Macaca mulatta: one gene and its partner. Each later gene encodes a partner of the first gene's protein in a complex. Links are inferred from orthologs where the notes say so. Each region holds a gene or a part of one and is shown on either strand. Other genes may lie near its edges. The genes, in order: IFFO1 and XRCC4.

Region 1 (4,285 bases):
TGTACCTTCTGTCAGAAAGACCCAAGCTTCCTCCAGGTGCCAGGATAGCAGTCAGCCAGCTGGAAAAGCCGAAGGGATCAGGGAGTCCAAGGTGACTGGGAAGCTAAAGCAACGATCGCCTAAATTACAGTCCTCCAAGAAAGTTGCCTTCCTCAAGCAGAATGCCTCTCCCAAGGGCACAGACACAGAAACACCGGCTGTGTTATCCCCATCCAAGACTCAGGCCACCCTGAAACCTAAGGACCATCATCACCCCCTTGGAAGGGCCAAGGGGGTTGAGAAGCAGCAGTTGCCAGAGCAGCCTTTCAAGAAAGCTGCCTTCCAGAAACAGAATGACACCCCCAAGGGGCCTCAGTCTCCGACTGTGTCTCCCATCAGTTCCAGCCGCCCCCCACCAGCAAAGAGGAAGAAATCTCAGTCCCGGGGGAATGGCCAGCTGCTCCTGTCTTAGATGGTTGAAAACTAGACTGGGGTGGCTCACTGCCATTGTCACCGGGTTGGAACTCTTGCCTCTATGAGGATGCCTTCTCCACTGTGCATACCCATGAAATTTAATACACATTTTACAACCTCTGGCCGCTGAGTATTTTTGAGGGAACTGGGTACTGCCTTTGCTGCTTTAAGGGTAGAGGTGGGAAGGTGGGACTGGGATCTTCTGAGGAGAGGGAATGGTTGGGTGCTACTGAGAAATCAGGTCAGTTTTAGGCTCCTGCAGCCTTGAGTCTTCCCAGGAAGGGAGAGCCCTGGAGTCAGAGCTAGGGGTGATTGAACTCTGGGGAGAGGAGGGCAATAGAAGTGTAGGGGAAGGCCGGACATGCTGGCTCACGCCTGTAATCCCAGCACTTTGGGAGGCCAAGGTGGGTGGATCACCTGCGGTCAGGAGTTCGAGACCAGCCTGGCTAACATGGTGAAACCTCGTCTCCACTAAAAATACAAAAAATTAGCCGGGCATGGTGGCGGGCACCTGTAATCCTAACTACTCGGGAGACTGCGGCAGGAGAATCGCTTGAACCTGGGAGGCTGAGGTTGCAGTGAGCCGAAATCACGCTACTGCACTCCAGTTTGAGCGACAGTGAGACTCGGTCTCAGAAAAAAAGTAGCGTAGGGGAGATGGGCTTGCCACCAGAACCCATGGGGTACTGGAGGGCCTGGGCTTTACGCCACCCCAGCTGAATTCCAGGCGGTGGGCCCCTCATCCCTGGGCTCGGCTTCAGATCCGGAAAGGTCCAGGGTCCGGCCTCCAATTGGAGCCTGTCATTGGCTTCCCCCTCGGCCCGCCCCCTGACCTCTGCCCTGCCGCCGAGCCTCCTGATTGGTCGACCCTGTCCCGCCGGCGCCGCATTGGCTCTTCTCGCTCGCCCTCCATCCCTGCTCTTGCACTGGTTTGCATCTCCCAGCAGAAGGCGCAGCCATGAATCCGTTATTCGGCCCCAACCTCTTCCTCCTACAGCAGGAGCAGCAGGGCCTGGCCGGGCCGCTGGGGGACTCACTGGGAGGCGACCACTTCGCCGGGGGAGGAGACTTACCCCCGGCGCCTCTCTCGCCGGCCGGCCCTGCTGCCTACTCGCCCCCCGGGCCGGGCCCGGCCCCGCCTGCCGCCATGGCCCTCCGCAATGACCTGGGCTCCAACATCAACGTGCTCAAGACCCTGAACCTCCGGTTCCGCTGCTTCCTGGCCAAGGTGCATGAGCTGGAGCGCCGGAACCGGCTGTTGGAGAAGCAGCTGCAGCAAGCGCTGGAGGAGGGTAAGCAGGGCCGGCGGGGCCTGGGTCGTCGCGACCAGGCCGTGCAGACCGGCTTCGTCAGCCCCATCCGGCCCCTGGGGCTGCCGCTGGGCGCCCGGCCGGCCGCTGTCTGCAGCCCGTCGGCGCGGGTGCTGGGCTCGCCCGCGCGCTCTCCGGCCGGCCCCCTCGCGCCCTCCGCGGCCAGCCTCTCGTCGTCTTCCACCTCCACCTCCACCGCCTACTCCTCGTCTGCCCGCTTCATGCCCGGCACCATCTGGTCGTTCTCGCACGCCCGCCGGCTCGGGCCGGGACTGGAGCCCACTCTGGTGCAAGGGCCTGGCTTGTCGTGGGTGCACCCGGATGGGGTGGGCGTCCAAATCGACACCATCACGCCCGAGATCCGCGCGCTCTACAACGTGCTGGCCAAAGTGAAGCGGGAGCGGGACGAGTACAAGCGGAGGTAGGGATTGGGAAGAGGGGACAGGGCTCTCTGTGTCATGCCCCTCACAACGGGCCGGGAGTCGGTGTGGGTTCCGAAGAATCAGGGGTGAAAAGAATGAGAGGAAAGTTTGTGCTGTATAATGAGGAGCTTGGAAGGAATTGGACGCAGGGAGACTAGAATCTGCAGAGAATGCAGAAGCCCCACTCGTGACAGGAAGAAGGACGCTGGGAGCGGAACACTGGGGAATTCCTACTTTTCCGGCTTGTCTCTGCATCCAGGCTTAACTGCGGGCTTTGTGGGTGTGAAAGGGACTGGGTCTGAGCCCTACCGGTCTCAGCCCTGGGGCAGTTTAGGGATATAAACTTGAAAAGTAGGAGGCAAGGATATAGCGTCAATTTGGGAGAGTAAATTGAGTGAAATTGGAAGGGGGTGGTAAGGAAGGGGCTGTACCTTGCAACGGGTGATTCTTTCACAGCCCAAGGTTTCTCAAAGAATACTGATGGAAACCAGGTACCTGCTGTGGTTTCATAGGAAAAGCTCCGGGACCTCATTGCTTGAGTAGGTCAACAAAGTGGGAAAAGAAAGAGTGAAGGGAATTCCCTAGGGTGAGGGTGGAGAGCAGGGCTGATGGGGGAATCTCTTGGCAGTATAAAACGCCAGCGGTGGAGGGAGAGTGGAGAGCCAGCAGGGGACTGAGCGGGGAGAAGCTGGGATATGGACACTCCCTAGGACTGCGAGACCGCGGGGCGGGCCCAGTGCATTCTGTGGATGAAGATTTGGCTGTCTGAGAGGAGCCCGGTCCCAAGGGGCAAGGGGAAGGGATGTGATGCCAGGAGTGCTGGCTGTATACCAAGTGGATTCCTTAGATGGCTGATAACCAAGTCGATAGGACAGGAGAACAGAGGTAGCGTCTTGCAGACTCCAACCCATGCCTTGAGGAGGAAGGCGGTGACAGTCAGAGAAGACTTTGGTTTGGCGGTCTCCCCTCTCATCTCAGCTATTATGACCCCTTGTGGGCGGGCCTGGGAACTACCTATGCAGCCCAGTGTAGCCGAGATTCAGCGCTGGGTGAGGATTGGCCGAATGTTCTAGGAAATGACCACTGGGTGTGGGGGCGACCTTCAGGGATCTCCACCCTGCTGGAGTTTACCAGATCAGAGATCAGCAGGCTTTCTGAGCTTGAGTCCTGTCCTTGTGCTGGCTTCCTTAGTTGTGGTCCATGTTACATGTCCTTGGGAGTTTCAGTTGTCCTGAAGTCATTCTGGCACCCGAACCAGCCTGCTCTGCCCGTGCAGGAGCGAGCTAACACACTCAGCAGTGGAACAGGCACAGTTCTGGAATACATCCATAACCACAGGAACAATTGCTGTTCTCAGGAGCTTTTTCTTTTCTTTTTTTTTTTTTTTAAACTGAAGGAGCGTTTGTCCTTGGTCCAGCTGTCCAGGGCAGGAAAGAGTTATTCCTTGGGGACTGATTAGCTCATAGCTCTGCAGCACACTGCTGTGTAGAAGGCCGTAGCTAGACTTGGATGGTACGTGATACTGGCAGTGACTCTTCTTCCACCCCAGATCCCTTGCCCTCATTCTGGTCTCTTTATAGCAACACTGTAACTCCTGTTTTCTGCCTGGAAGGCCTGGGATGGCTTGAGCACTAAACTGGGAGGTAGCTGAAGGCCTCCTGGGTTCTATTTTCAGCTCCCCTGCCTTGCGTGTGACCTTTTTTTGAGCCCCCATTTTTCCAACCTAGGATTGGTCCCTGCTTTCTCTCTTCAACCCAGGGATAGAGTTTTTTCTAAGAGTGGTGTTTGGTTCATGCAGAATGCATGGAAATCGCTCTCAGATTCTGCCCATGTTAAGGGAACCTTGTAAGTGAGACCAGATGGAAATGGAGGTGAAAATGAACCTGTTTGTGTGAAATCTGGCTAAAGAACAATAGAATTGTAGTGGACTTCCAGGTGATTCATTTTTAGATTTTTTACCCTGTAAGATTTCCTTAAGCTTAACCTTTAGCTAACCGCCTTCCTTAAGTTTCTTCCAGGTTTTGTTGAGCTCACTGTCAGATAGCCCCTCCTGCCCTCCCTCACACATCTTGTCCAGAGTTAGCATGCCCTTGACAGGTT
Region 2 (3,813 bases), on another chromosome or scaffold:
TAGTCCCAGTTACTCAGGAGGCTGAGGCAGGAGAATAGCGTGAACCTGGAAGGCGGAGCATGCAGTGAGCTGAGATCTGGCCACTGCACTCCAGCCTGGGCGACAGAGCGAGACTCCATCTCAAAAAAAAAAAAAAAAAAAAAAAATAGAACAATCCCTAAGGACTATGAGTGAATAAAAGTCTCAAGAAAAATCAGAACCCTAAACCTGTGTTATGTGTGTATGCAAGGTTTAAAATGGAACACTTTGCCTCAAGTGTAAAAATCAAGGTGAGAAATTAACTTTCAAAACTAGTCTCGAACTGATGAAACTTGTAATGACCCCCAGAAAGGCAAACCAGCAACCTTCATTTAAGAACACTTCTTCCCAGAACACTTGCCACTTTGGCTAGAGGCAAGCCGTACTCAAACGTTACAAAGCATGAAAGGAAAACAAGTAAAACAAGAATTTTTCCACAGATAGAAGAAACATAATTTATACTCCAGGAGCCACACATAAATACAGAAATGAAAGATATCTTAAAATACGTTTATTTAAATATTTAAAAGAAGGGTAGGGTAGAACAGGATATAATGGCAAAGGAACAAAGATAATACCTAGAACTGAAAATATGATTACTGAAACAAAAATCTCAATGATAGATAAAACATCAGCTTTAAAAATACCTAGATAAGAGAATTGGAAGCCAGATCTCTAGTATAGTATGTGTTGCAGAGGAGATGCTCAGTACATTTTAGTTTCCTTCCCATTCTTTCCTTATTTTCCTTTCATCCATATTTTCTGTTGTTGGCACATGATATGAGAATAATGAGCTCCACTTTTGCTTTTGTTTTACCCTGCTCATATGAGTGAGAAATACACTGTAGACTATTGAATCTTTGATGCAAGGAAGGAAGATGTTATAAAATATTGAGCTTATTATTCATTATAGGAAATTATCTGGCTTTGACCTAAGAGCAGGTACACAAAGTGGAATTTTCTGTAATAACTTACAATGTGTTTCATCTGAGGACAGAGAAAGAATGTCAAGGGTTTAATGTATTTCACATGAGTTGTGAGTCTAAATTAATGCATTTCTTAAAAATTGCTAGTTCAATAAATAGGAATAACTTGATTTAAAAATGTGTAGTATAGGGATTGATTTTACTTGTTTAAATTTCTGTTACACGTGATAAATTAGTACTAACAGATAAACTAATATTTTCTCATGTGTAGTCGTTTACTTTTCATTTTAAAACTTTTGTTAATATTTCCCATAGTTTCTGAATCAGAGATTTCCCAAGAAGCTGATGACATGGCAATGGAAAAAGGGAAATATGTTGATGAACTGAGAAAAGCATTGGTGTCAGGAGCAGGACCAGCTGATGTATACACATTTAATTTTTCTAAAGAGTCTTGTTATTTCTTCTTTGAGAAAAACCTGAAAGATGTTTCAGTAAGTAAAACTTTCCAAAATGTTACATAGTAAAATGTCAGAGCACTTATTGAGGGATTATATTTAAATTTAAGTAACTACTATATTATTCCCAGAACACCTCAGAAGCAAAAGCTTGAAAAGTACTTAGTTTCCGAATTGGAAGAGACTTCAAAGCTAAAGTCATTAAATATATTAATGAATCACGAAAAATAATTATTGGAAAATATATTTAGTTTTTAATGCTTGAAAAATTTTAAAGTATTACAGAGTTAATTATAATCTTGAAAAAGGTGGGATCAGAAGTTTTAGCCATTGTGACAGGTCTTATTGAAATAAGTTTTGTGAAATATTGATTTTAAGAAATAATATATCTTTGAATATCAAATAATTATGACTTATTTTCTACTTTATTAGAGTGTATTTGAAATTTAAAAATACATAGTCAGGATTAAGGATACTTTATTTATATTGTCAGATTTAAAAATATTAAAATAGAAATAATTTGCAGCCTAAGCTTTGCAGACAAGAGTATCTGCTACTTATTCTGCTCAGTTCCTGCACCAATTCAGATCAAGGCAGGTGGTTTATTTATTAAAGTCTTGCACTAATTATTTGTATATTTTACCTAAGTTGAATAGATATTGAATTTGTTTTTTTAGCTGGTGGTTTTTAGTCATATGTGAGAGCTATCATTTCTAAAGGAGAGGGAAGGAAATGTTTGCTACGTTAAGTTAACAAATAGCTATTGAGAATTTGTTTTAGAGCTCAACTTAGTTTAGAAAATTATTTTAAAACAACCTTTTAAATTCAGAATAATTAAAGAGATTTCTTTCATTAGAGAAACATTTGAAGAAACAAATGGAATCATTATAAATATATATTATCATGTAGGGAATAATACAGAGAAACTAGCCTTAGTAATTTATATTTAAAATAAACATTTTCTAATTAGCTGTCAAATTATGTAAGTTTCAATATGCTGTGTTTCTTAAAATGGTAATTTAAAATAGGTACAGTAAGAAGGTTGGAACTAGCTACTACAATTTTGTTATTTATCGTAAGTGTTCTTTCCTATGGCCCAAGCTCAATCAGATGATATTATATATTACAGAAGTGCAGACTCTTCGAATATTTTGAAGCAGATCATTGCCAAATTGGGATCAATGCCATTTCCCATTCACTAAACATTTGCATGTAACAACTAGCATTATTTTGTGCAGCCATTTTCTAGTTTTTATCTGTTTCATACATATTGATACATAATTCCAAATTAGTGAGGTACATTTTGGAAGGCTGAAAGGCTTTTGATATTTTTGACATGGTAAAAGATGGGGCTTGGTACAGTTGGCATTTATATTAATCTGTTCTCACACTGCTAATAAAGACATAACCGAGGCTGGGCAATTTATAAAGGAAAGAAGTTTAAATGATTCACAGTTCCACGTGGCTGGAGAGGCCTCACAATCATGGCAGAAAGAGAAGGAGGAACAAAGTTATGTCTTATATGGTGGCAGGCAAGAGAGCATGTACAGGTGAACTCCCCTTTATAAAACCTTTAGATCTCATGAGACTTACTCACTTTCATGAGAACAGCATGGGAAAAACCCACCCCCATGATTTGATTACCTCCCACCATGTTTCTCTTACAACATGTGGGAATTATGGGAGCTACAATTCAAGATGAGATTTAGGCCGGGCGTGGTGGCTCATGCCTGTAATCCCAGCTCTTTGGGTGGCCAAGGTGGGTGGGTGACCTGAGGTTGGGAGTTCCAGACCAGCCTGACCAACATGCAGAAACCATGTCTCTACTAAAAATACAAAATTAGCCGGGCATGGTGGCACATGCCTGTAATTCCAGCTACTTGGGAGGCTGAGGCAGGAAAATGGCTTGAACCCAGAAGGTGGAGGTTACAGTGAGCTGAGATCACGCCATTGCACTCCAGCCTGGGCGACAAGTGCGAAACTGTCTCAAAACAAACAAACAAATAAGAAAACCAAAAAAAACAAGATGAGATTTGGGTGGGGACACAGACAAACCATATCAGCCTAGATGGAGTACTTGCCATGGCTGGCAATACATCAGGTTTTACTCCTTCTATGAAGAAAGAGCTTTAAGTCCTCTTGATTCATGTCTTCTACAGTTGGTTTGGCATCTATCAGCATCAAAGACTCATAATAATCCTGAAAGATTTTTGCTTGCCACCCTGAAAGTAAACAACTTTATCAGAGCCAGCATCTTGAACTACAGGTACTACCTTTTCAAGAAGTGTTCACAAGAAATGGAAACAGCCTAAAAGATTACCAGCAATGCAAAAAGTGTGCTGGTTCCCTACAGAATGTCTTAAACCACTACATTGCAGTCTAAATAGCTGTCTCCGTATTTATTCATTTATTTA

Evidence for each region.
Region 2: the proteins of IFFO1 (region 1) and XRCC4 are in contact, whole or in part, in a crystal structure (PDB 6ABO), measured with the Homo sapiens proteins. The link is inferred for Macaca mulatta from reciprocal best matches to the Homo sapiens genes IFFO1 and XRCC4. Residues at the interface, in NP_001317253.1 of Homo sapiens: Arg469, Glu470, Tyr473, Ile477, Gln479, Ile480, Glu481, Glu483, Leu484, Ala487, Lys488, Asp490, Met491, Arg493, His494, Leu495, Tyr498, Met501, Lys505, Leu508, Asp509, Met512, Cys515, Arg516, Leu518, Ile519, Thr520, Gln521; in NP_001304941.1 of Homo sapiens: Trp155, Val158, Gln159, Phe162, Glu163, Cys165, Val166, Lys169, Glu170, Glu173, Leu176, Tyr177, Phe180, Val183, Leu184, Lys187, Lys188, Lys190, Ile191, Leu194, His195, Lys197, Leu198, Ala201, Ala202, Arg205, Glu212.

What each region holds. Positions count from the first base shown.
Region 1 is NC_133416.1:7,504,260-7,508,544, reverse strand, and holds the start of IFFO1 (non-homologous end joining factor IFFO1), read left to right. Parts: upstream 1-1,376; 5' UTR 1,377-1,411; coding exon 1,412-2,184; intron 2,185-4,285. Other genes in the region: NOP2 (28S rRNA (cytosine(4447)-C(5))-methyltransferase), read left to right, coding at 1-451. UniProt on the Homo sapiens protein: Nuclear matrix protein involved in the immobilization of broken DNA ends and the suppression of chromosome translocation during DNA double-strand breaks (DSBs).
Region 2 is NC_133411.1:89,411,116-89,414,928, forward strand, and holds part of XRCC4 (DNA repair protein XRCC4), read left to right. Parts: intron 1-1,259; coding exon 1,260-1,435; intron 1,436-3,813.